4 linked regions of the Styela clava genome follow. The protein of the gene in region 1 purifies or fractionates together with the protein of each later gene. This does not show direct contact. Links are inferred from orthologs where the notes say so. Each region holds a gene or a part of one and is shown in the gene's direction. Other genes may lie near its edges.

Evidence for each region.
Region 2: the proteins of cell division cycle 5-like protein (region 1) and small nuclear ribonucleoprotein Sm D1-like purify together in Homo sapiens (affinity purification with mass spectrometry; 4 studies listed by BioGRID and IntAct, with this or other methods). This does not show direct contact. The link is inferred for Styela clava from reciprocal best matches to the Homo sapiens genes CDC5L and SNRPD1.
Region 3: the proteins of cell division cycle 5-like protein (region 1) and small nuclear ribonucleoprotein Sm D2-like fractionate together in Homo sapiens (co-fractionation; 3 studies listed by BioGRID, with this or other methods). This does not show direct contact. The link is inferred for Styela clava from reciprocal best matches to the Homo sapiens genes CDC5L and SNRPD2.
Region 4: the proteins of cell division cycle 5-like protein (region 1) and splicing factor 3B subunit 1-like purify together in Homo sapiens (affinity purification with mass spectrometry; 5 studies listed by BioGRID and IntAct, with this or other methods). This does not show direct contact. The link is inferred for Styela clava from reciprocal best matches to the Homo sapiens genes CDC5L and SF3B1.

What each region holds. Positions count from the first base shown.
Region 1 is NC_135252.1:11,955,306-11,962,371, reverse strand, and holds the start of cell division cycle 5-like protein, read left to right. Parts: upstream 1-4,052; 5' UTR 4,053-4,130; coding exon 4,131-4,279; intron 4,280-4,727; coding exon 4,728-4,932; intron 4,933-5,633; coding exon 5,634-5,772; intron 5,773-5,845; coding exon 5,846-7,066.
Region 2 is NC_135254.1:11,227,656-11,233,918, reverse strand, and holds small nuclear ribonucleoprotein Sm D1-like, read left to right. Parts: upstream 1-4,894; 5' UTR 4,895-4,952; coding exon 4,953-5,324; 3' UTR 5,325-5,753; downstream 5,754-6,263. Other genes in the region: uncharacterized protein LOC120344877, read left to right, coding at 1,025-1,216. UniProt on the Homo sapiens protein: Plays a role in pre-mRNA splicing as a core component of the spliceosomal U1, U2, U4 and U5 small nuclear ribonucleoproteins (snRNPs), the building blocks of the spliceosome.
Region 3 is NC_135253.1:644,774-651,588, forward strand, and holds small nuclear ribonucleoprotein Sm D2-like, read left to right. Parts: upstream 1-4,603; 5' UTR 4,604-4,759; coding exon 4,760-4,764; intron 4,765-5,618; coding exon 5,619-5,798; intron 5,799-5,910; coding exon 5,911-6,094; 3' UTR 6,095-6,287; downstream 6,288-6,815. UniProt on the Homo sapiens protein: Plays a role in pre-mRNA splicing as a core component of the spliceosomal U1, U2, U4 and U5 small nuclear ribonucleoproteins (snRNPs), the building blocks of the spliceosome.
Region 4 is NC_135251.1:15,526,367-15,534,105, reverse strand, and holds the start of splicing factor 3B subunit 1-like, read left to right. Parts: upstream 1-4,719; 5' UTR 4,720-4,820; coding exon 4,821-7,739. Other genes in the region: ERI1 exoribonuclease 3-like, read left to right, coding at 3,376-4,113. UniProt on the Homo sapiens protein: Component of the 17S U2 SnRNP complex of the spliceosome, a large ribonucleoprotein complex that removes introns from transcribed pre-mRNAs.

The sequences.
Region 1 (7,066 bases):
TAAACTTTTCTTTTTTACTTTAATATATGTTTTTATCAGTGGCGGCGCGTCAATAGGGCCAACCGGGGCAATGCCCCGGTTGTTTTTTCGGTATAATAAAAAATATTCGAAAAATACCTCAATATCGGTTGCACAGACCGTCTACACTAGCCATATTCTCCCGACATGGTTCATTTTTCGCTCGCAAAGCCTTCGCCGAACGTCGACGGGGCGACGCCGATTTTGCTCATTGTATATCGTATTCTCTCTTTTATCTTCCACTCGCTCGTTTGTTTTCTGTTTCTTTTACTAAATCATTGGGCCGATCGGGGCTAGCCCCGAAATTATGACGACACAATACCGGCGTTTCTTACAACAACGTGTTGACATATTCACGCATTCCTTCTCGTTCGTTGGTTGCTTGAAGAGTTGATAGTTTCCTCGCCTTCGTTTTTGTCGCTTGTTTCGCTATTTGAATCAGTTAGAGACTTTTAGTCCATTTGCTTTCGATTTTCCACATTCCTTTTGAGCTCCTCACTTCTTTCCGGCTTCGCATTTCTTAGCCTTAGACCTCATAATGAATAAGGTTGATGCACTACTTCGCACTCCGTTTTCGCAGCTGCCGCTGGAACAAAAATTAGAGGTACAACGTCTTGGGCCTTATCAACCAAAAAATTGTTCACTGGAACAATCCCATGACGGAGGAAAGCGTCGGCGTACATTCTGCGCAGAAACTTGGTATAAAAAAACACGAATGGTTGTGTTACAGCGAGGACAAAAATGGACTTTTTTGTTTTTATTGCCTACTTTTTGCTACCGCCCGTGACTCACGTTGGTGTAAATTTGGTTTTAGAGATCTTAAACATCTTTCCGAGCGTGCCAGGGATCATCAATCTTCTATGGAGCATCTGGACAATGCAGTAAAATACCGAACATTCGGAAATGTTAATATTGCAGCACAGTTGGATGAAGGACGCGCGGTTTCTATTCGTCGGCACAACCAAAACGTCGAGAAAAATCGCCATGTTCTCGGTCGATTGATAGATGTTTTGAAGTTCATTGGTTTTCACGAGCTGTCCCTCCGTGGGCACGATGAACGGGCTGGCTCTTCTAATAGAGGGGTATTTTTGGATATGGTGGAATACACCGCATCCCTAGATACAGTATTGAGAGATCATCTTGATGCCGCAACTGTTTCGAAAGGGACATCTAAGGATATCCAAAATGATTTGCTCGACTCAATGTATAAAATTTATTTACAACATTTGGCTCTGGAAATTGAGAATTGCCAGTTCCTTTCGATTCAGTCTGACGAGACAACTGACATCACGTGCGTTTCCCAACTGGCTGTGATTTTTCGGTTTGTGAAAGATGGTAAACCTACCGAGAGATTTCACAGCTTTGTACCAATCGTTGATCGCACGGCTTGCGGGATATCGGCTGTACTGAAAAAAGTGTTACAGCCTTACAACGCGAAGTCAAAATTGATAGCTCAAACTTATGACGGCGCGGCAGTCATGAGTGGGTCGAAACATGGTGTTCAAGTTTATTTAAAAGACGATTTTCCTCATGCGCATTTTTTACATTGTTATGCACACCAATTTAACCTCGTTATTAAAAATATGTGTCTTGATACCCCTTTCGTCCGTATATTTTTTGCAAATGTTTCGGGGTTTTCTTCATTTTTTTCCGTTTCGCCGAAGCGCTCTGACCTCCTTCGCCAGATATGTAGCCGCCGTCTCCCAGCTTGTGCACCAACACGTTGAAACTTCCAATCACGCGTGGTGCAGGGCGTGTCCGAAATTAGGTCTGAGCTCGTTGAGTGTTTCAATGGCATTCAGAGCTATCCGGTTTGGGACGAACGCTCTGTGAGGGAGGCGGCAGGTCTAAAGCGTCTGCTAGAAGATGGTGAGTTTTTAATTTTTTCTCGCTTTTTTCTCCACAATATTCTATCACGTGGATGTATTATACGGCGCATTGCAGTCAAGGCTAATGGATGGAGCGTCTGTGCAGTCGTGTATTTCAGACTTCTGCGATGCTGTATCTCGTATCCGGGAAACAATAAAATACGACGACACATGGAGTGCTTCTTTACGCCGCGGGCAAACAACGCAGCGTTTGATTTTGTCTGCAAAGGAATGCTGTGACATTCTTGTGAATCAAATAGGCGATCGTCTGCGCACTGAACACCTTGCCGCGTTCTCTTTGATGAATCCCAAAAATTTTTTAAAATTTGCACGGTAATTTCCCATCCATTTGTTGGCTACTGTTTCCAAATTTTACCCCACGTTAAACGTGGGTAAATTGGAAAATGAATTGCGATGTATATACACCAATCAAACTTTTTTGAACATCACATCAACTTGCGCGCTCTATGGGTTCCTCATAGATAACACTCTAGTAACTACCTTTGCGGCGTCTGCAAAATTTCTGGACATCATTTTGACGACGCCTATTTCTTCCGCCGACGCAGAGCGAACATTCAGCACGCTGAAGCGTAATAAAACGTATCTCAGAAACACAATGAAGCAAGATAGATTAAATTCCTTGGCTGTTTTATCCATTCACAGAGACGTTATTTCTGGGATGCATGACTTTAATCAGCGCGTTATTGAGCATTTTGCTTCCAAGAAACCGCGGCGTGTTGCATATATGTTCAAGCAGTAGAAGTCTAGCAGCATATATATCCATGAGTGAGCGACGCCTGTCTTTATCTTTGCATTAGCTTTCCTTTCTTCATAGTAACGTTTTAAACCTTATTTTAGGTTTTGTCTGCTTTCCCGAAGTTTCTGTTAATATGTCATTGTATTTATCTGGGTAAATATTGCCTTTCCTTTTGAAAGAGGTTTCAAAACGATTGAATGGTTTTTATACTCATAAAATGATGGGAGAACTTACAGCGCTCATTCTGTCCCCATAGATGGGGGTGACTTAGTCCCACAGTAGCTTGCCCCGGTTGTCAAAATGACCACGCGCCGCCACTGGTTTTTATGTGTGTAATATGGGTAAACTGACACATGTGTTTCTGCGTGTTGTAAACCACATCACGGGTTTTGCCAGTTTTTTCGATTTTCCAATCTTTTGCGTGTTCATTGTTTAGTGTATTTTTTTTTCAAGAAGGTTAAAATAAACTTATATCCAAAATTCTGACTCCGAGAATTCAAAATTTCGACTCTGACAAGTTTGCAAATACGACTCCTACAAAAACATGCCAAAGTTTGACTCCACAACTCGCAAGTCTATCATCAGTGCATTGGTGACTACATTGACTGACTTTATTAGTTGCGTTTGATGTAATTTTTAAACACACAAGCGAATTGCAACTTACTACAGTCAGGTAGTACCGGTACTACAATATAGGCTACCAGTAAGATTTATTTCGGCATTCTGATAACGCACCACTTCATCCAACAATAAGCTAAACGGTTTGGCAGAAACGCATAAAAACGAGAGGTAGGATTTACATAGGATAGGATTTTACATATTTATCCCGGGGGAGAGGAAAGCCGATAAGACGGCGTATCCATATGGCGAACCACGGCCTCTCGTCCGGTTACCATTCCAAGTCGGGTACCGGTATGGGATTAGTTTTACTGTATTGTTTGTTTTCGGAAGCATGGACTTGGTGGTGGAGGAAGCCGTAACCGACCAGCGGTTACGTGAACCACCCAACGACGGCAAGGAGTCCAGCAATCCTCTCGCACATAACCATCCCTGCATGGGATTCGAACCTGCGAACCCACGCAGAGTAATTAGAGGTGCGGTGGCAAGCGTATTCCTAACGCTTAGCCCGTTGAGCCACACCGCCGCGCCATACCGTACCGGTACCGTATATATCGCGGAGAAGAGGGAAAACGATAAGACGGCTTGATCACATGCTGACATGGCTGCATGGCGAACCACGGCCTCCTGCCCGTGGTGCGCGATGCGCCACATCTCCGAGTACAAGAGTACGGTTACAAATGGTACAGAAATACAAAAAAATGGTTCTCTGTCTTCAGGCCAAGGTACCGGAAATAGTAACAGTAACTGGCTGACTGGACAGGACTAACCATTACGGTATTACTGTATCAACTCGTTAAGCTACTGCTTCTTTCATTTCTATAGTCTACTTTACCCTAAACATAATATAACAGTGATACACTGGTAAAATGCCTAGAATAACAATTAAAGGAGGTGTGTGGCGGAACACAGAAGATGAAATTCTGAAAGCTGCTGTAATGAAATATGGTCTGAATCAATGGTCTCGTATTGCTTCTCTACTTCACAGAAAGTCTGCGAAGCAGTGCAAAGCTAGATGGTAAGAATAAAAGAACCATCGTTTTACTCTTGCTGCTATTGTGAACTGCTCTGACACTGATATCAACCATATTTTTTCATTAAAATTGCACGGCGAAACATTGCAGAACAAGTTTGGCTACAGTTACTGCAAAAAGTTTTTTTTTCAAATTTTACGTGAAATTTAAAATATTTTGACATTCTCAGCGCAATGATGGCCTTTCATTTAGGACAACCCAGTGGCGTATGTAGGGTATAAAACTCATGTTTTTACTGAAATGATAAGTACAAGTATCTCAATTCAAAATCAGCCATTGAAAATTGTCAGCTAGCGATGAAGGGGGCTTTTCTTAACTCTGCCATGGGTGCCATTTTATATGGATACGTAACTGCAGAACAGGGACAACTTCACACAAAAAATGCTAATCATCTGGTGAAAAAGACTTCAGACATAATATGATTTTTTGTAGGTACGAATGGCTAGATCCGAGCATCAAAAAAACAGAATGGTCAAGAGAGGAAGAAGAGAAGCTTCTTCATTTGGCCAAGTTGATGCCGACACAGTGGCGTACAATTGCTCCAATAGTAGGGAGAACAGCAGCACAATGCCTTGAACATTACGAATATTTACTTGATAAAGCTGCTCAGAAAGAGGATGAAGATGACGATGCTCAGGTTTGCCATGTTTTATAACTAAATGTTTATTACTTCAAATGTAATTGGTTATGTATTTTTTATTGAAATTTAAAAAATTTTGAATGGATGAATTTCTTTTTCATGAGAGCTTTTCTTCTAAACGTTGACAGTATATAACAAGCTACTACTGGATTTTGTTTTCTTTTGTGAACCAACTTGTCATGTTCCGTATTTTACACACTATGTTAGATGGTTATTCCAGACTCAACTCTGTATTGACTAGTAATCGAATACCGATATGCAGAATGCAAGGCCATTCGAATCTTGAAAATATTATACTCTAATGAATTGTAAAAAATTCCATTACTAGTTCTATACTAACTTTAAATTCAAAATTGTGTTATATTTTGGGGGTGTTAGATGCCCCGGAATTATGTTAAAATAAGATTGGGTTGGATGAAATGGGTGATATTGAAAAAAGATGTTTATGTTCTGTGCATGATTTTCTAAAACCCAATGTTATACGCACAAAACTATGCAACCTTTCTGGAATTTTATGCATGTTTTCAATGCTGCAAACAGCTGTTTAATTAACATTTTCGAATGCAAAGGACCCATCACAAAGTCAAAAATGAATGCAGTTGTAATTATAGATTGGGGGTCGGCAAACTAAGATAATTCCATTTTGTCATGCATATAATTGTAATGTGTAGCTTTTATGAAATACGTTCATATTACAGGATGATCCAAGAAAGCTTAAACCTGGAGAGATTGATCCAGCACCAGAAACTAAACCTGCCAGGCCTGATCCAATTGATATGGATGAAGATGAATTAGAGATGTTGAGTGAAGCAAGAGCAAGACTTGCGAATACTCAAGGTCATTAGATATTATTATTAAAATTATGCGAATTTCAATATACAGTATTGGCTAAATGTTTGAAATATTACAGGTAAAAAAGCAAAGCGAAAAGCAAGAGAGAAGCAGCTGGAAGAAGCCAGAAGATTGGCTTCACTTCAAAAACGTAGAGAACTTCGTGCAGCTGGTATTGGAGTTCGTAAAAGGAGGCGAAAGAAACGTGGTGTTGATTATAATGAGGAAATTCCTTTTCGTAAGCTTCCTGCAGCAGGGTTTCATGATACTTCTAATGAGACCTTCAATCCAGATGATCCAGATTTCAAACGTTTGAGACAGGAACATCTTGATGATGTCAGCAGACAAAAGAAGGAATCTCAAGAAAGAAGAAAAGACAAACAAAAAGTCAAGGATAAAGAGCTGCCTTCTCTAATAGCTAAGCCGACAGAACCAGTTAAGAAACGGTCCAAACTTGTGCTTCCTGCTCCACAGATCTCTGATGCAGAATTAGAAGAAGTTGTAAAGCTTGGTCAAGCTTCTGAAGCTGCTAAACAAGTTGTAGAAGAAGGAAATGCTGCTTCTGATGCTCTACTTGCAGATTACAGTGTTACTCCAAACGTATCTGCAATGAGGACTCCGCGCACACCAATGATGCAAGTTGATACTGTTATGAAAGAAGCCCAAAATATAATGGCGCTGTCCAATGTTGACACTCCTTTGAAAGGTGGACTGAACACAGAAGTGACCGATAGTGATTTTTCCGGGATCACTCCGCAACAGAAATACATTCAAACACCAAATACAGTTATTTCTACACCCTTTCAAACTCCTGCTGATAAAAATCCAGCAGCGACACCAGGTATGCTGACTCCGGCTTCTAGCATTCGAAATACACCTGGTATGACACCAGTCAGGGATAAACTTAACATAAATGTAGAAGGTTCAGATGGGGGAGCCACTCCATTTGATGGAATAGATGAAAGACAGCATTTGAAAGCCTCCCTCATAAAGTTACCTGCGCCTAGAAATGATTTTGAAATTGTTCTTCCTGAAGATATGAATGGTGAAGGGGAAGAGGAACATCATGATAATATTCCATCTGATTTTATTGAAGATGCTGCCGAAATAGAGGCAGAAAAACAAGCAAAAATAGAAGCAGCTAGAGCGGCTGAACTTGAGAAAAGGCACACTATTATAAAAAGAGAGCTGCCAAGACCTTCCGTAATAAATGAAACTATTCTTCGACCAATGAATGCAAAAACCAAAGCTAACTTAAACTCGCTTCAACTTGCTGAAGAAGAAATAAAACGAGAAATGA
Region 2 (6,263 bases), on another chromosome or scaffold:
TCGTCGCGAGGAAATCGCAAGTATAATCAAACGAGAGAATACTCTCGTCGTTGGTTAATAAATTGGAAACCCGTAATTTTTATTCAGTACGAAAGTCGATTTAAAAAAACTATCGTTTCCATAAATATCCGTATACCAGTGTCGGTAATGATAAAATTGATGGCATAAAAATGGGACGGTCAATTTGCGAAGGTGATAAAGGAAAACCAAAGCTAACACAAACGATATAAATCAGAATAAAATTAATTTGAATTCACTCCTTGATATTTGTCTTTAACATCTGCCACCGGCGTGTATTATTGCCAAGAATATGAAAACCCAACTTTAATGTCCCATTCGGAAAAGAAGTGGATTCAATTGGTTGTTATGATAGGTTTAAATGCGTGAAAAAATATCGCAATTACGGGGTCATTACGTAATTGATTTTGCCGTAATTACGGAATTGATTTTTGTCAATTACGTGCAAGCCTATTACCAGTTATTGATATTTGATCAATTCTCTATTACAGTGGTTTTTAGTGGGGTCAACGGAGTCCGAAGGCACTACACAAAGGAATTTTATAGGTTCCATCATGTGCTTCACATGCATAGGATGATATCAAAATACCGTACTCGGATTAGTCGCGCTCGCACAAGGCGAAATGTCAAAGTCAACTCGTAAACCAGGCTACAGTAGATCACATTTTCCTGGTCATATAAAAAGAAATTGTTTTATATCTTCATTCAAAGCAAAATAAGGTCTCATCTGCTTAAATTTGATGGAACGTTTGACATCTTTTGTTCTTGGGTAATGTGAGATTGTAGGCTATCCTTTAAAAGTTCACGATAGATCATATCTTGTATCATCATCCGAATGTGAGGCAGATTTGATGAAAAACATTGTTTGTGAGCAGTATGGACTATTCGAACAAGTCATCAAAATTCTTGAAACCCGTTTTCTATTATTCCATTTCCATTTTACCATGGGTAAATTTATTTCCTATAAATGTTTTGTTTTCAGTTTAATCGTTGATCTATTTTTCAGAATGGTGCCGTTATCGGAACATCTACAAACTACACGAAATGGGCTCAATATCAACCCAGGATTGGAAATGAATTCACCATGTACACAAACGTATTTCTACAAGCTGGGCTTACAACTTTTGCTTGGTGGGGTGAAGGCATGTACAACGCACCGCCGACATCTAATTCGAATGGTGTTGTTTGTAAACGCTGACGATTTATAACAAATGAGCCGTCTTTATAAGGCGTGATTGAGGGGACCGAGCGTCTAACTTTTATGTGATTTTTTCAATATTTGTCATTTATATAATACTTTTTATGGCACATCAAGAAAGAACGATTGAATAAACATTCTACCAAACGCTTGATTGTTTAGGCAAGATATTGTGAAGGCGATGTATTATTTCTTCACATTATTTAGAAACTGAATATTTTACGCTGTAAAATTTTCAAAATAAACCTTCAACACAAAAAGGAGAATGTAGGATTGAGTCCGGTCATATAGTGTATTCTTCTTGAGTACAATTTATTTTTAGAACTTTTTACTGAAGGGTTTCCACATCCTTTTTTCACGCAAGCCTTGGAAAAGTACATATTCACTTATTTGCATATGGATGCTTTTGTTTTCGAGTTTATCCTACTTATCAATTGAGGAAACATATATATGACCCTTGACGCTCCACTTCTCGTCTGTAATTTTCTTATACTTAATCTTTACAATTTTATTTTAGGGTTCGGGACTTTGCTTTGGGCAAACTTAAATATAAAATAAATTGATTTGTTTGAAGAGGTGGTAGACATAGGGGTTATAGAATTTAATGCATTGGCATTTAAAATGGAATGCTTTGAATACAATTTCAACTTATGATATTCAGTACTGTAGACCCATTTGATGATTTTCTGAAAGATGTGTGCACTCTTTAAGTTTAAATAAAGCAAATCGTCACATGCGAACCTTGACTTTAACACGAAATGCAGTTGGCGGGTCCTGTTGTTGTCGGAACATTTGAAATACAAGATAGCAATGCTCAAACATATTAACACGGAGGCCTAAGCAAAATATTTTACCAACAATCTCCCAATCTCCTCATTCATCTCAGGCTGAAGGTGGCTGGAACAGCGAACCCCCCCCTCCCCCCCCGTCATATATTTTAAGAACACGGTTATTTCGAACAGAACTCGTCAAACGATCGCTGGTCGATTACGACATCCCCCACCATCAAGTCCATGCTTCTAAAACGAATAACTGGCTAACTAATCCTGACATGGAATGGTAATCGTACGATGTTGCACCTTGCGATCTGTCCCCAACCACAGATAAATTATATCTTAAAAACTACCCACATTGGTAGGCATAGTTGCGTTTTAAATTGAAAGAAATCTTCATTAATGGTCATCAGGTGTTGTTTGTCTTATTGTTTTGTTAGTTAGCAGGTAATTTATTACTGATCTGATACACAAACTTGGCACTGTCAAATGATGATTAGTGTTTAATTTATTTTCAGGAAAAGGGAAGATAACCCATTATCAGCTGCTTATATGTCCCATCAATATTTGAATTTTCGCCATCCCCAGAGTGGAAGAGAATATTTAGAAAAAGGGGGATTTTGAAGAAAGGCAAAAGGCAGGACCATTTCAACAAATTTTGTTAACTTGTATGCGTTGCAATATTTGCAGTTGTTAGCATAAACATTCAATGTGTCTTTCGACTAGACCTACCACAATTTAAAAAAAGCCGCCTACACCCCTTTTCACTAGAACCATAATACTGTAAAATATTTGATATAAATTACCCCCGAGGCATCATATCTTCCATTTGAAAGGGCTGTGGAGGCAGATACATTTGTTACTCTAAATTGTTGAATGTTACTTTCAGGTTATCTTATCCTTGCTTATATATATCTTGAGGTTAGTGACTCCAACTGACTCATGCATGCCACAATGAAAATTCTCTTGTGTACCCATGAAATAAGGCTGTTGGAGCCTTCAGACCTTGAAAACAGTCGAATCTGAGCACGATGGATTCATGTGAAACACGTAATATGCATTTAGAGGCAAAAATATCCCATCCTGAGCAGCACCGATCCACAACCTCCTGCCTATGGAATCAAAACATTAGACAAATTGGTGTACTGTGCGCATTCTCAAATCTTTGCGAATCAAGTGTGCCTTTTGACTAAAGAAAATTTAGCATTGAAATGGTCAATATCAACCTAGTATCTGCAGATAAAACCAATTGTTTTTTAAAAATACATTTTTGATGTGCTTTATTTTTAAAATATAATTTATAATTACTGTAAAGTGTGTGATACATTTGGTACCATGAATACCATTTGCAAATTATCTTGGGTTACACCCCTCTCAAATAAAAGTTTAGACTCTTAAGTCATATCTCATAATATTCTTTAAAAAAAGTTGCGGCTAGCCGGCTACCCATCAGAATTTCTTTTCAGATCACAAAGTCGAAATATTACGCCTCGGTAAGTTTCATTGGCAACTGTATCTGGTTGTAGTATCGGTGTCCAACGTTTGACTAAAACCTTCCCTACCAAACCCACCAAAACAATTTTTTTTCTTGATAGGGTCGTCTTGAAGTTGCTTTCGTTAAAGAACAATGGACACTTTATCTCCACCAATCCACAGTAATCACAAGTTACTATGTCATTACGATAAGCATCAATAAATGGATACTGAGAATGTATTATCAAGTCACGCAAGCTGTCACACAAGGGGAGCCAGTTATTTGTTTTCAGAAGCATGGACTTGGATGGTGGGGAATGGTCGTAACCGATCAGCGGTCATGTGAACCACCCTCGGTGGGAGTAGAGCTGCAATCCTCTCGCACATAACTATCCCCGCACGGGATTGTGAAACTACCAGAGTGATCAGAGAGGCGGTGGCGAGCGTATTCATAGATGGCGAATTCAATTGAATTCTGGTTATTTTTTGCATGACCACTGGTGTTAAACTTTAGTTATCTATTCAACCTTTCACACTTAGTAATAGATTACCTGCTAATTAGGGAAACAATACCTTATAGCAATTGATTAATAATTCTTTATTGTCTTACATAGGTCAAGTCTGCAACTGCAAGTAGGCCCACGCCTAGGCCTACTAATAACAGTAGTTTGTCATCTGCTTTCCATTGAAATGAGGGAGCTTGTGAATATTTAAAAAAAAAGATATCGGCACACTATCACTCACTGTCAACGAAGTGCTATCTGCAAACAGTGAAACACAGGTAAGATGGCTTCTGGACTTGACACCAAGCAGTTCTGCCAATAGGCAATAGATAATATCCACATTGCGCGACGTTCCGGATCTTTTGAAATCAGTGGAATATAACTGAAGATCCATTTCGTTGTCTATACTTTACGTACAGCCAACGGAACAATACGAAATAACCATTTTCAACAGGCAAACAAAACGGAAACGTATAATCCGACTTGCAACTGACAGGAGCCAAATGGACGTTTTTGTTTTATTGCCGTCCAGTAAACAAGGTCACGTGACCCGTGTAAGTCCTCTATTTGGGTGTAGCTCTCTTGGTTCTTTATATTTTTGCATGTTTTTTTGTTTTTTACTGGTTGGAAAAAATAAATTTCACTTAACTTGACTTCAGCAAGCACGTAGGCTACTACTTCTTTTGACAACACCTTCTAATCTGAAATTTGTACGTTTTAGCGTAAATATATACTACTACGGTTTTAGCCCTTACTTAAAGATTTTGTTCGCTTTCCGGTTCTGATATCAGTTTTATTTATTTATTTTCTTATTATTATTTTATCGTCTTTTATGCTGAATATGGAGTCAAAATGAACTCATTACGACTTCACTGGAATATGCGGTCAAAGGTTATCACTGACCACTTTAGGCACTGTTGTAAAACATAATTCCCGCTTCGTTGACTGGCGTGTTTGTTGCGTTTCTGTTTTTCGCAGACTTCAGCTATGAAGCTCGCAAGATTTTTGATGAAACTCAGCCATGAGACAGTTACTATTGAACTGAAAAATGGTACCCAGGTGCATGGCACCATCACTGGCGTAGATATTTGTATGAATACGCATTTGAAATCAGTTAAAATGACTGTTAAGAACAGGGAGCCAGTCACCTTGGAGACACTCAGCATTCGTGGCAATAATATTCGTTATTATATATTGCCGGATTCTCTTCCATTGGATACCTTGCTCGTAGATGAAGGGCCTAGACCAAGAACCTTCAGAGACAGTCGTGGAGGCAGAGGAGGACGCGGTGGTAGAGGCCGTGGTCGCGGAAGAGGAATGCGTGGTCGTGGAAGAGGTGGCCCACCAAGGAGATATTAAAATAATAAGAATGCTGGATTTGAATATCGAGTTATTTGGGATTATTATTAAACAATTTTATGACCAATGAAATTTCCTTTCGACTTCATGCAGCTCAAAATAATCATATTGGCACTCTGTTTATCGTAATTTGACTGTACTTGCTGATAATCAATTATAAATCAGGGCTAAAGGAACTCCTTTTCAACCCTGGTTGTCTGGTTATCTAATGCTAGACAAGAAATTTGCGGTACACCAAAATTTTATCTTGCAGTTTTATTCTTAAAAGAAAAATTCATGTTTCATTGGGACTTACAATCATTTTCAAAAATTTCATCCTGCAGTCTTATTCCTAAAAGAAAAATTGTTCTTTTGCAATTCATTTCAACCATGTTTCATTGGGATTTACAATCATTTTATTACTGTATTACAACAATGAATATTTTACAATTGTTCTTTTGAATTTTTGCATGCGTGAAGAACTAATGTTTGTTCTCCAAACTGACAGAAATTAGAGGTATTCAGCAAGTCAATATGCCTTGTTTTTGAAACGGGTTTCCACAGATTATGATGCTCATTATGTATGAGAAGTTGTAACTGCATCAGATATTGCAATCATCTGCTTTCTCAAATATTTTTCGCCGCCACCAGACAGTTGAATTTGTTAGGAGAGTTCAGCAAGCAGGTTGAATAGTACGGTACTCCCTCAAAGTTACTTGGACATATTGCTATGAATTATCTAGCTGTTGTGGAAACTAGATTATATCTCAGAAAGATATATCTTATTTCTGACAGAACTAATGTTTCCCATATTTTTGAATGACACGGAATTACATGGGCCTGTTTAAATCGGGTTCGACAGCTTGGACTGAAATACTTCAGTCAACCCGAACCCCCCAGTAATCAGACACCAATCAAAGTTGATATATTGATTAACAATTTTAAAATATTATTTGAAAG
Region 3 (6,815 bases), on another chromosome or scaffold:
TGTTTGGGGCGTATCATAACAATCAACAATAAGAAACGTAAACGAAAATTTCCACACGAAATTGAGACAACTCATGGCATCATATGCAACCATCAGTTCATATGCCACGAATTTTACACTTACTTTGTAAATGTTGGTCCTAATCTTGCATCGAAACTGACAAATAATTCTATGAAGTATTTGGGAAAACCTCAGAAAAATTCAATCTATCTGGAGCCTATACTAGCATATGAAACTATTTCCATTGTAAACAAAATGGATTCAAGAAAAGCTTCTGGTCCGGACGGTCTGTATATTCGTGTTCCAAATCTTATGATTTATATCATTAGCAAGTACTCTACAGATTTCTTTAAAGCATGCATGTAGCAAGGAGTTTTTCCTCAATGCCTGAAAGTGGCAAAAGTGACACCTGTGTTAAAATCAGGAGATCCAAACATAGTGAGCAATTATTAACCAATTTCAGTGCTCACAGCTATATCGAAAGTTTTTGAAAATCTTTCGCATTCCAGATTGACAGAATATTCGGACAAATTCGATATTTTGTCAGATAAACAATTCGGTTTTACATTGAAACACTCAACTATTCACGCAGTTTTAGACAGCGTTACTCATCATTATTAGGGATGGCGAAATCGAGTCCGGATTCGATTACAGAATCGATTCCATGCACCGGAATCGATTCTCGAGTTTGAAACTTTGTTTGCAAACAATGTGTAACGTTTAGTGGCAATTTCTTCACATATATATATATGTATAAACTGCTTCACTGCTATGTTGAGTTGCTACGACACCACAAACTTCACTATATATAATATATATATTATAAATATCGCTAGTAGGCTTTAACGTTTATTTATTTTAAAAATCTCTGTGGGTTTTGAGGGATTCGTTTTTTTTTTGTGCGGTTTTGTCTCCTGTGGCATATTGGATACCCATACTACTTAGTTTCGGCCTTCTTGTCCGTCCAGAATTTGAACATCGCTGTCTTGCTTGATTTCATATGGTATTGCTTGGGTGGGTATATTTTTTCGGTAATATGTCGAGGAATCGAGAATCGGAATCGAAAATTTAGGAATCGGATAAGAATCGAATACTTGTAAGTACTCATACTTGGCATCCTTAATCATTATATGAATATTGGGAGAAAAAAAACATTTTGTTAACATTTATGTCGACTTGGAAAAGGTTTTTGACACCATTGATCACTCAATATTATTGCAGTAAATTCATCATTATGGTATACGAGGTAAACCATGGCGCTGATCAAAAGTTACATAAGCGAACGTATGCAATATGTCATTTATGGTAATGTGAGGTCTACGTCAAAACATGTTAATATGTTTATACCACAAGGTTCTGTTTTGGGGCCTCAATTTTCTTGACTTTTCCGTGTAAATTTCTCAGTGAAAAATCAGATTCAGATATTTATTTTACCGTGCAAGAATCAATGTAAAGCAATAAACGCACACAAGAATAAAAAAATACGGGAACACACTGATTCATAACAATTGATGAGGGGTCGCGAAAAACTCAATTAGTCGTCTAATCAGCGATACCTGAATTGAGCAGAAAATATAGGGAAGAAACAAGTTTCAAAGAAAATTAACCAAAAAACACAATCACGAAGAGAACAACAATTAGTAATAGGAACTAAAGAAATTAGGAGAACCATTATTTTGGGTGAGTTTGGTGGAAAAACGATTTACATAATAAGAGTGTTCCATATGAGTGCACATCACTCTGCTTAAAAAATAGGTAGTGAATGCTGGAGGAAGTTTTTCGTTGTGGTGGTGATGGTGCATTAATTTCAACATTTCAATTTTGTAAATATCAACCAAGTCTACGATAAATAGGACTAAGACGAGTGCATATTCTACATCTGAAATCGCTTGATTCTGTAGAATTTCGATGCGATGCAATAAGGTTTTATCTGCTGAACCACGCGCCACAATACCATATTGAATATGGGATTGAAATAAAGAATAGGAGACCATACGTAAAGTGGTTAGCTATGTAAAATGTCGAAGCTTGTATAGTATTCCCACTGACTTGGCTAATTTAACAGCCAGGTCAGATATTTGAACGTCCCATGCACTTCATTTTGTTATCTATATATAAACCAAGATATATATATGAATTGACATTTTCAAGTTCTGTATCATCAATTTGGACTGTCAGACTATTTTGAGCTTTACTTTTATTTGGTGATATTAATTACCATAGTTTTTGATTTATCGATGTTTTTTGGCTCTCATACAATTTGCTACTTTTGCAATTTCAGTGTTCACTCTCTATTGAAGGGCTACATGAGATTTGTCACTATCGAGGAGATTGGTATCATCGGCAAACAATTTGGAAAATAATGAAGAACAACGAGTTATGTCTAGAGCTGGGCATTTCGAATCGCCGCCATCTTATTTTTTTTTCTCATCGCCAATGGTCAACGTATATTCCTTAATTTTTTTTTTATTGAAGCCTTATTTTTTCAATGCATTCCAGACATATGACTATTTTCTGTAGTGATTTATTGATAAAACGTGTTTCTTATTGCGTGTGAACGCTCGCAATTTGTCTGAGTGATGTATTCTACGTTTTCAGTAATTCATTCGTTGAAAGAATCAGTTACAATAAAAAAAATTGTATACAATTATATATATCTCAAGTATTCGAGATTCGATTCGATTCTGGAATCATCAGGTATTCGAATATGCCCAGCCCTAGTTATGTCATTAATAAATACAAAAAATCTAAGAGGTCCTAAACAACTACCTTGTGGGAACCCGTGAAACACCGGTAAGAAAAGGATTTGTACCTACTTGAACATACTGTGTGATCTGCCGCTCAATTTACGCCTTACGGTATCGAAGCTCTTCTTCAAATCTAAAAAGGTTGCACCAACAAACTCCTTTTTTTATAGTTTGTCATATATAAAAAATATAGTACCCAAAATGGCATACGATGTTGAAAACTGTTTTGGAAACCGAATAGAGATTAATTCATGACAACATATTTAATGAAAAAACTAGTAAGCCTCTTGTGAATTGAGCGTACAAACAAAAATTTTATCAATCGATGAAAGAATAGATATCGGTCTATAATTTGAAGCAAGTTTTTTGTTTCCAGATTTAAAAAGAGGAATTACCCGCTCAATTTTGAGAGATGAAGGGAATATGCCGAGTGAGAGATAGCAATTAAAGAACTCTGTTAGACACGGAGCAACAAGGTCAGCAACATATTTGAGGCCGGAATATTGTCTGGCCCAACTGCCTTCCTAACCTTCAGATTTTGAATTTCTACCAACAGTTCATTTGCGGTAGCCAAACTCATAAAAATGGACTTGCTCACGCGATTATGGGGAAGATGTTTGAAATTACCCGAATCATTTGAAAACTTCTCAGAGAGGCTGGACCCAATGGTTCAGAAGTACTTAAATTTGTTCGAAATCGAAAAGTCAAACCTAGTGATACTGCCATTTTTCAGACAGATTTCCTCAACTTGTTGCTTTGATTTATTATGTGTGTTTTTGATTTTGTTAAATATTTGCCATGTTGATCTAAGGTGTGCGTGCTGGTGGGCAGGCACATGAGATACTTCATGTTTTAAACTTTTTTGTAGGTTTTGCTTGCCCTCCAGAATTCTCCATTTTTAATTTAGGTTTGTTATGGAGTTTTCGAAATAAACTATCTATCTATCTAAGGTTACCTCTGTTTTGGACAATAAGGTTTTGGTAATAACTTCGTTTTGGTTTCTTTGCGATGAAGTCTTGGCTTTTTTTTATCTCCTCCACTTCAGAGGGATAGTTGAGATTTCACTTCCTTCAGAAATTCATCTAGTGATGACAACGACTCCTGGATGCCAATACTAGAGGGGGGAGAGTAAAGAAACATCATGGGCCAACCTTTCCATGGGTTGTTTAATGATGGTTGGTATTTCAAGTCTCAGAGTTTTTAATATTTCACTCTCAAGCACTGTTACCAGGTCGGACATTTTACTTTCGGGCAGTTTGGTAACTGTATAGGTACTAGCAGCTTGACGATCAGTGGAGCTTTTGCGCTTGACATTTTCTTGTACGAAGATCAAAAGATCGTAACTGACGTTTTGAGTTCAAGCAGATAGATTTTCAGATGTTTTAAGAATACATTATAGAGTATATATTATAAAGTATAGACTATGGTATTGCTCAGCTATATCTGCAAACTTAAAACAGCGAATATATAATCGATTTTTTTTGTGTATTCGTGCTCTCGTGTTAATTTGTGACTTCATTGCATAAAGATGAATGCGTTTGATAGCTTCTGTAAAATAAACGCAACTTCTTATGCTGTTCTTTGTTGTAAATTGCTTGGCTAGGGAGGTCTGATTTTGGTCAGACGAAACGTTTCTAAGTGTGCAGCAGGACTCTTGAATTGCATAGTTACAGAAAATGTGCAACTTTCGTTAATGGGAACAAGCTGTAATGCGTTTAGTGTGTTGATTTTCATACGAAACTAAAAAAATTATTATATTACCATATGTGCGATACGAAACTCATTTTATAGTCGTTTTCGAGGGCCTCGTCTCACGGTATATTGGAATTTTTAAGGGGTCAAGGGTCGGGGAAACGAAATTACTGATTGGAGTCTACTATATTATATACGACTTACTTTTGCCGCTCGTACTCGTAGCTCGCTTGTCGGTTGGTGAGTGGAATTTTCTTTTCAGCGTCATTGCTGGATCATAATCGGTTTTAATCTGTATCTACATACGGAGTAACTGCAAAATGGCGTGAGTACAATATAACAGTTTTTATGTTTTATAAACTAGTTATCAACATGATTTTGCATGAGAAAAATAGCGACAATGTGAATCATTGGTTAGTTAATGTTTGAGGGAGCCCTTGGAAATTTTCTACTACAAAAATGAAACGTTAGGAGCAATATAATATTTCCATGTTTTATTTGCAAAATAGGTTTTTAATCATTATTTTAGTCAAAAGACCCGCAGGTACCGGTACCTCCCAAAAAAATCCCCAAAAAATGATGACGTAAAATCCGGTACCGGTACATAACCACGTGAATATACAGGTAATACGGGTAGCGCTATAAAACCATGGCGAGAGGTACCGTGATTCTTTCGTGGCAGGTGCCATCATGAAGTGGTAATAATTGTGTCACCTGTTTTGCGCTGGTTTCCACTGTTTCGCGCTGTTTTCCTCTGTAATGCGATGTATTCAGTAAGTAGTACAGTAGTAAGACCCCCGTTAACAGCCTTAATTATAGTAACTCAGTAATTATCAATATTTATAACGATAGTTAGCCTACTTCTACTGATTGATATTAACATTTCATACTTGATATAATCCTGTAATCTGAACTCGAAATATGCTTGTTTTGGCTTTACAGCTTTAATGTTGTGAGTGAAGCGGTCTAGTCCACCTCCAGTCTGCCAGACCGCTTTATACATTCAACGACTGAACTAGGCAATACAGAAATCCCCATTTGGTATCAAGTTACTGCATAAGGCAGTAAGTGGACTCTCAAATACTGAAATATAGACAGCTTGACAATATCTTTTACCCCATATTTTCCTATACGTTTCGCTCCAGTTTACTAATTCGGTATTCAATTCGACAACTACAGTGCGCTTGCAAACAAACCAAGGAGTGAGATGACTGCTGAGGAGTTGGAGGCACGAGAAAAAGAAGAATTTCAAACTGGTCCTTTATCAGTGTTGACTGATTCAGTGAAAAACAATACACAAATATTGATCAACTGCAGAAATAACAGAAAGTTACTTGCTAGAGTTAAAGCATTCGATAGGTAAGCAGATTTTGCTATATAAAATATTGCTAAAGTATATGAAACGGTATTGTAAGTTCCCACACAGATTTGATTTATTCTCATGCAACAACAGTTTTATCTCTGTTAACAGGCATTGCAATATGGTTCTGGAAAATGTGAAGGAGATGTGGACAGAAACTCCAAAAACTGGTAAAGGAAAGACGAAGCAGAAGCCTGTTAATCGTGATCGTTTTATAAGCAAGATGTTTATTCGTGGAGACTCTATCATTATTGTGCTGAAGAATCCTCTTGCTTCAGCTGAGTCCAAGGCTTAGTTGTTTTTTTTTTCGCAGCTACATCTAGTTTGACATATAGATGCCTAACTGCTGTAGCTGCGAATATCATTTTTATCAACCTGCTTGAAGACAAATTTTCAGGTATTCCTGCGCATATATGTTGTACAGGAGCCAGAAGTCTGCAATCATGGTTTTATATTGATTTTCAATAAAAAGAAGACATTGTTTCAAATTGTATTGCGTCGAGTCTGCTATAGTATTAGTGTGCAGTCAATTTTGGAAGAAAACTATCACTGCGTCTGGGATTCTTTGAAAACTGATATTTAGATATTAAAAACTAGATGTGTATCTGAGCGTAGCTCTGTGCAACAAAAAATAAGATTTCTCAGCCCTAGTATATTGGGTGTTTGATGCGTCCAGTGAACTAACTTTATTCATTGATATTATTTTGTGACAATTTCGCTTGTAGTTATTCCAAATTGAAAGAAAGTTAACGATCATATGGTGTTATACTAAATAAAATCAGCTTTGGAAATATTTCTCTGGTACGATAATTGGTGATGTTTATTACCTTTATATTAAAAGTAGGCGTAGTCCATTTGTAACGGTTACAAGCTGACATATAATGTTAGGCGGTGGTTCCCCGTTTTTTTTTAAGAGAAATGCGTGAAGAATTTCTTATTGGCACGCAGACCTCGACGAGAAAAAATAAAACTATCACGACGAAAGATATCAATTCTTTGTATGACCGGGAATGTTG
Region 4 (7,739 bases), on another chromosome or scaffold:
GGAAATTAATTTTGAAATGTTGTATGTTGTATTTTGATTTTGACATTGTTGACGAAATAAAATACTACTACTACTACTACTACTACATACAAACAACGCTCACAGACCGTCTGCCCTGCACACGTGAGCTAATAATTACATAGTACCGGAATATCGGTATCCGATGATATCGGCATATCGGTATCAGCGTTTTTTGTTTTGTTGGTATCTTGTCAGTATCGGCAGCAAAAGTAGTACCAGTACATCTCTGATAGAGAATGAGGATGAAGAACGTATCCAGCAAGATTCACGTCAAGCTAGTTGTTACGTCACTTGTGTTTGGTTTTACATTGTTACGTCACAATAATGCCTGTAGTTGTGGAGGTGTTTTTCACTGGTTTCCAAGTCAAATGTGAGCTATGTTGATGAATGGACATTCGCCTGTTGATTTACAAATTATCATGTCCACCGGTGACAAATGTCGGTGACATTTGATTTCACCTATAATGTGGATTGATATCAGTACGCATTTGAACCACTAATTATAGGTCTCTTTTTGCATTTGAAGATTTTTTTACTTTGTTACATTCCCAATATGTTTGTATATGTAGAATTTTTTGTTGCTTGATTTTCGTATATATTTTTTAAAGCAACAAACAAGTGTTTTTTCATTCAAGTCAATCATACTCATTCTGCTTTCCGGCCACGAAAGACAATACAGAGAGTGAGAGTTTATTTGTTTTGTTCACCAGAAAAAAATTTACACAACAAAAAAACATAATTATCAAAAAGCAAAACAGTTTTCGGTATTGACTGGGTGGCAACGATACGACCATGCGGTCATCGGGTCAGTTACCACCCGATAGTAATATCAATAAACATGAATAAAAAATGGTTCAGATATGTTTTAACGTATTTCAGGTGTGTCTAAAAACAACATTAAGTTTCCATGGAAAGGAAATACACAATAGGCAATAACATATAGGCGTTTAACGCTAAATAAAATTTCGGAAATGTTACACACTTGATCAAGTGTGGTATTGATCAAATTTGACATGAATAAGTATTTTTGAGTAAATGGAGCATAAATTGTGTGGAATCGGGTATTTCGGATTGAAGAACACACAATAACATTTTGTGTAAATAGTGAAAAAATTGCGCAGCATATATATAAATCATTAAACAAAATCATTACAAAGTAACAAAATAAATTAAAACGACAGTTTATAAGGTACAAAAAAACAATAAAAATTGCAAGATCTCAAAATTGAGCTTAAGCTGGAATATGCAAAATAATACAGTATATGCTTTTTGTGGGTTTTATATTGTTGAATGACGCGTACTGTAAATTTAATAGTATGATTCCAGTGAATATGAACACCCATAGATGTTGCTAATATAGCCTACTCCATCGATTCGCTGGAATGAGATAGGTGTACAAATACTTGAGAGGAGGTGCCTAAAGGTAAATTGAGTGTTCCCGCTTTGAGAGTACCTATCAAGTAAAATATTGTACATGAAGGCATTAAAAGTCAGAAATAAAATGAGTCTTATAGGGCTAATATTGGAATACTAATGGAACTTAATTTCGGGGAATAATTGAAAAATAGAATGGAGAACAACCCATGTTAAATTATAAACTACAGCCAATACACGCATACAAACTTTCAAATGTTATTGATATACTTTTAATTTATGTGTATTAAACTTATTATTTTAGTAAGTTTTTAATTTTAAATACTTTTAATGCGTAAAGGTACAAATATTTGAAATTCGTTTTTTTTTATACAAGTGTAGATGTGGCAACATACTTTCTATTCTATACTGAAACGCATGAAAAACGTTTTGCCATGTAGCGTTGGTCGATGGAAGTTACGGGCTGGCCACTATTTGTTTGGCCCCAAATTCTATTATTCATTGGAAGAAGTGGATTAGGAGGAGGAATAAGTGCGGTACATTATACATACAAAAAATGATGTGGTAAAGTTGCTACTACACTACTAGAGCTGTGGCTCAAGATTTTTTACCTTTTTGGCAGAAAACATAATGATGTAATGTCAGAATGTCAGACAGACAGGTCTGCAGGTGTTTACATGCAGACATGTGTATCGATATAAGGATGTACAGACGTAGAGCTTGAAAAGTTAACAGTGATGGCCATCATCTAATACTTCAGTATTTCGAATACCCGTACATTCTAAAAAATATTTTCAAATCTGGAATTCCGAATACATTCTAAAATCCCCCACATACAGACATAGCTTCATAGGTACCGGTACAGGTACCGACATAAATATTATTCAGTTTTCTAAAATCCAAGTACATAGGAATTAGGCTTTACAGCTTTATGAATGTATCATTGTAAAACAGTCATAAGTACAAACAGACAAATGGTAAGTCAGATATGATTGAAATTAGTGATTTTCTTGCTTCTAGGAAAAGAAACCTGTACCGGTATTACTGTACCGATATGAACATTACAATTCATATAGGCCTATCTATGAATTGTGGTAAACTGGAAAGCACAGAGACAGAGCAGCTAGGCGTCCAGTGAAATGTTTTAAATTATGCAGTAAAATCGAAGTCCAGAAGTCCTCATTAACAACACACACACTTTTTAACACCGCTAATTTTTTGTTATAAATCCTGACTGTTTATCGTCAGTGTAAGTGTCATTTAGTCGAGTGTTTCCCAACCGCCGGTCCGCGAAAATTTTAATGTGTTTTTCTACCGCCCCAATCGCTTTACTGAAGCCGAAAAGAGGTAGTTACGTTGGTTTATTACGCAATTTCTCTTCCGCCGTCATATTGCTGTTTGATAGGTGTGGTATGGCCCGGTGACGTTTGGCGCCGAGTAATCACACTTTTCGCTTTTTCGGTTCCGATTCATCGCGAATCGCTCCGTCTAATCTCGCAAGTTTCCAAAATCTGAAAATGAGCATGCGCGCTCTTTCTGTTCTGCACATTATTTGATAGTTTTTCCTCATGTGAAATGTTTTTAAGTGTACCCTTTTTTTTTGAAGAGTATATACTGATTGTCCGACATTGTGCAAATATATGTTCTGTTCCACTCATTTCAATTTTTGCCGGTCTGCGAGTACACTTTATTTAATTTTTCCACCATGGTAGAAAGGTTGGCAACCACTGATTTGGTCCATCGACATTGTTAAGCTAAATTCCACCACAATTATCTCAGGTATGCACAGGTATTGGGTGCTGTACTACCACGGGTAGTTATTTTTATTTTGCTCACAAAACTATAAATTAGTTCAGAAAAACGCAACTGTTATTACGCGATCATCGTCTTAATCAAATGAGTGGACCCGGTCCCCAAATTTTCATCCATTATAAGTACTTTATTTGAATATTTTTTTTTCTATTGATCAAATTAAGTTATATGATGCTTCTGTTGAAAAAATACAATAGAGCTCAAAGTTTCTTCCCACTCGTACTGAGCTGCCGTAATATATCAAGGAAAAAACAAGTGTTACTCACTGATCTTGTGCAGAAGAAGCCGGAAGACTTGAGAAGGCATCAGATATATGACTATTTCATTGTTCTTGATTTTGAAGCAACTTGTGAGAGATCAAAACTAACCTATGATCAAGAGATTATAGAATTTCCAGCATTTAAAGTTAATTCATCAACATATCAAATCGAAGAATGTTTTCATTCCTTCGTCCGACCAACTATACAACCAATATTATCAGAATTTTGTATGCAGTTAACTGGAATTACTCAATTCCAAGTAGATGATAAGCCTACTTTAAAAGAAGTTATGCAATTGTTTGACATTTGGATGGAAAAACATGTCCTTAGTGATAATAAGAACTTTATTTTTTGTACATCTGGTGATTGGGACTTGATGAAAATGTTACCCAGTGAATGTAAGATGAAAAATTTGACTTTACCTAAATATTTTTATCCTTATGTAAATATAAACAAGTCGTATGCATTAACGATGGGAAAATGGCCTAGACTTGGCAAAGGTCGACTCCATGCTATGCTGCGATTGTTAGACTTGGAAGTTTTTGGTGAACTTCACCAAGGTACGAGTGATTGCGAAAACATGATTCGTATTATGGAAGTACTGTCTAAAAAAGGTCATATTTTTAAGCCAACATCAACTTCATAGGACTGAAGTGAAATTGATGAATATTTCTCAAAAATTGTAATTGTTGAGGGTGTAGTGGCCCATGTGGAGTGCGGTTTTTGGGGCCAAGTTGATGTGTGTAGCTAAATGGGATACTACAACACTACAGTTAATAAGCCACATCTGGTCTTAACTGTTTTTTGATCTACTATTAAAAACTGATTTGGTAATTCGGTTTGTAATATTTCATGAATGTTTTTGGGAAATTTGAGATATAGTGAATATGTAGGTACCTAATTCTTTTGTAATAGCTTATTGAAATCCAACAAGCAATTTTTAACAAGCTTATTCTATAATTTTTTGATACTTGCGCTGAAATAATTAATTTGAAAGGATCCAAATGTATGAGTTCCAGATGAGCTTTATGTTCAAAATTTCTAGTGCTCCTAAGTCATCCATTGTTCTCCATATCAGGCTGAATATTGTTTGTTTTGGCCAAGTAGGACATGTGTTAAAAGCCATCTTGGTAACTACTGGTGTATCATGAACTCCAGTCTTGTTGAATGTTATTGCATTGGCGCTTGTAACTGTAAGTATTTATAATTGTTTGCAGTGAGTTATACTGCCTACAGGCACAGCTTATCGAAAACTAATAAAGTGCTAATAACTTATTGCTTTTTATCTTTTAGAATAATATAAAACACTAAAAAATATAGTATTAAAGGTATTCAAATACACGTTGCCTCGAAATGGCAACAAAGGATGATTATGTGTCTGAGATTGAGGCGATCCAAAAAAGGAAAGTTGCATTGAGCAAGAATGAAGATGAGGGTTCCCCTGAACAACCAACAGATGGTGAAGCTCGAGTTGGACTCGGTCAAGAAGGTCATTATGATCAGGAGATCTATGGCGGTTCGAATAGTAAATTTGCAGGATATGTAACATCCATCGCTCCAAATGAACAAGAGGATGATGATGAAGTTGAAGATGTGAATGCCGCTTTACTGGGAAAACGACAGACATACACTGCTCCTGCAGCTGTTCTTAACGATATCCCACAGAGTGATGAATCTTATGACCCTTTTGCAGAAACTAGAGCACAACCTATTCTAAACAGGGAAGACCAATATAGAAGACAAAGGTTACAAAGAGCTATATCTCCTGCACGTCATGATCCTTTTGCTGATGGTGGTAAAACACCTGATCCTCAATTGGCGCAGTACAAAGATGTTATGACACACCAAGCTCTTACTAAAGAAGAACGGGAAATTAGATCGAAAATTAGTGAAAAGCTGAAGTCTGGTGATGTCCATGTAAATGGAAATGCTAAAGCTGTTCAACCTAACGCTGCACCTGCTCAAAGAGAAAGAAAGAGGCGATGGGATGCAACTCCAACCCCTGATGCACCAAAAAAACGAATGACATGGGACCAGGCTGATGCTTCCACTCCTGGACATGCACCAACACCATTGCGATGGGATGAAACACCTGGCAGACCAAAAGGTGGCGAAACACCTGGAGCAATGGTAACACCAGGACAAAGTACCAGAATGTGGGATGCCACACCTGGTCATGCTACTCCAGGTGCTACAACTCCTGGACATGCAACCCCAGGCATCGGTGGTACACCGAGTGCAAGTGTAAGGAAAAACAGATGGGATGAAACTCCCAAAACGGAAAGAGAAACCCCTGGCAGAAATATTGGATGGGCTGAAACACCAAGAGCTGATCATGGAGACGAATCTGAGAGAATTCCTGGTGGTACCAGCAAGAGAAAATCAAGATGGGATTTGACACCAGCTGCTGCCACACCGGGAAGTCAAACACCGGGGTCTGCTACTCCAGTTTTTACCCCTGGTGGAACTCCAAGCGCATTCACCCCAAAATCAGGAATGGGAACACCAGGCTCTTTAGGAACACCCTCACTCTTTACCCCTTCAGGTGTCACACCCATGGGTACAAAAGCAATGGCTATGGCTACTCCAACTCCTGGTCATTTGATGTCCATGACACCTGAGCAACTTCAAGCATGGAGGTGGGAACGGGAAATTGATGAAAGAAATCGCCCACTATCTGATGAAGAGCTTGACGGAATGTTCCCTGAAGGTTACAAAGTTTTGCAACCACCAGCTGGTTATGTTCCTATTCGTACACCTGCAAGAAAAATTACTGCAACTCCAACCCCAATGGGAGGATCCACTGGGTTTCATATCCAGGTTGAAGACAAGTCGATGAAAGGAATTACTGATCAGCCGACTGGGAATCTGCCATTCTTGAAACCTGATGATATTCAGTATTTTGACAAACTACTTGTTGAAGTAGATGAATCAACATTGAGTTTAGAGGAACAAAAAGAAAGAAAAATAATGAAACTTCTACTCAAAATCAAAAATGGCACGCCGCCAATGAGAAAAAGTGCACTGCGTCAGATAACAGACAAGTCTCGGGAATTTGGTGCAGGACCTTTGTTCAATCAAATTTTGCCATTGCTCATGTCACCCACTCTTGAAGATCAAGAGCGTCATCTTCTCGTTAAAGTCATCGACAGGATTCTTTACAAGTTGGACGATATGGTTCGGCCATATGTACATAAAATTCTTGTCGTCATTGAACCACTTCTGATTGATGAAGACTATTATGCCAGAGTGGAGGGACGTGAGATTATTTCAAATTTGGCAAAAGCAGCTGGACTTGCTACTATGATTTCCGTAATGAGACCTGATATTGACAACATGGATGAATATGTGCGTAATACGACTGCAAGAGCCTTTGCTGTTGTCGCATCTGCCCTTGGAATTCCCTCCCTGCTTCCCTTTCTGAAAGCCGTTTGCAGGAGTAAAAAATCCTGGCAGGCACGTCACACTGGAATCAAGATTACACAACAGATTGCTATTTTGATGGGTTGTGCCATTCTCCCACATTTGAGAAACTTAGTTGAAATTATCGAGCATGGTTTGGAAGATGAACAACAGAAAGTAAGAACCATCACTGCCCTTGCTTTGGCTGCGTTAGCTGAAGCTGCAACACCTTATGGTATCGAATCCTTTGACAGTGTGCTGAAACCTCTCTGGAAAGGTATCAGAACTCATAGAGGAAAAGGTTTGGCAGCTTTTTTAAAGGCTATTGGGTACCTCATTCCACTTATGGATGCCGAGTATGCAAATTACTACACTCGTGAAGTAATGTTGATCCTGATTCGAGAGTTTCAGTCACCTGATGAAGAAATGAAGAAAATTGTACTTAAAGTGGTGAAGCAATGTTGTGGAACGGATGGTGTTGAACCCCAGTACATTAAAAATGAAATTCTGCCTCCCTTTTTCAAGCATTTTTGGAACCAGAGAATGGCTCTCGATCGACGTAATTACAGACAATTAGTTGACACAACAGTTGAAATTGCAAACAAAGTCGGTTCAGCTGAAATGGTGCAACGGATTGTGGATGATCTTAAAGATGAAAATGAACAATACAGAAAGATGGTTATGGAAACAATAGACAAAATTTTGGTGAATCTCGGTTCAGCAGATATTGATCACAGACTTGAGGAGCAATTGATTGATGGTATACTGTATGCATTCCAGGAACAGACAACAGAAGACATTGTGATGTTGAATGGTTTTGGTACTGTGGTCAACACCCTGGGTAAAAGAGTAAAACCGTACCTTCCACAG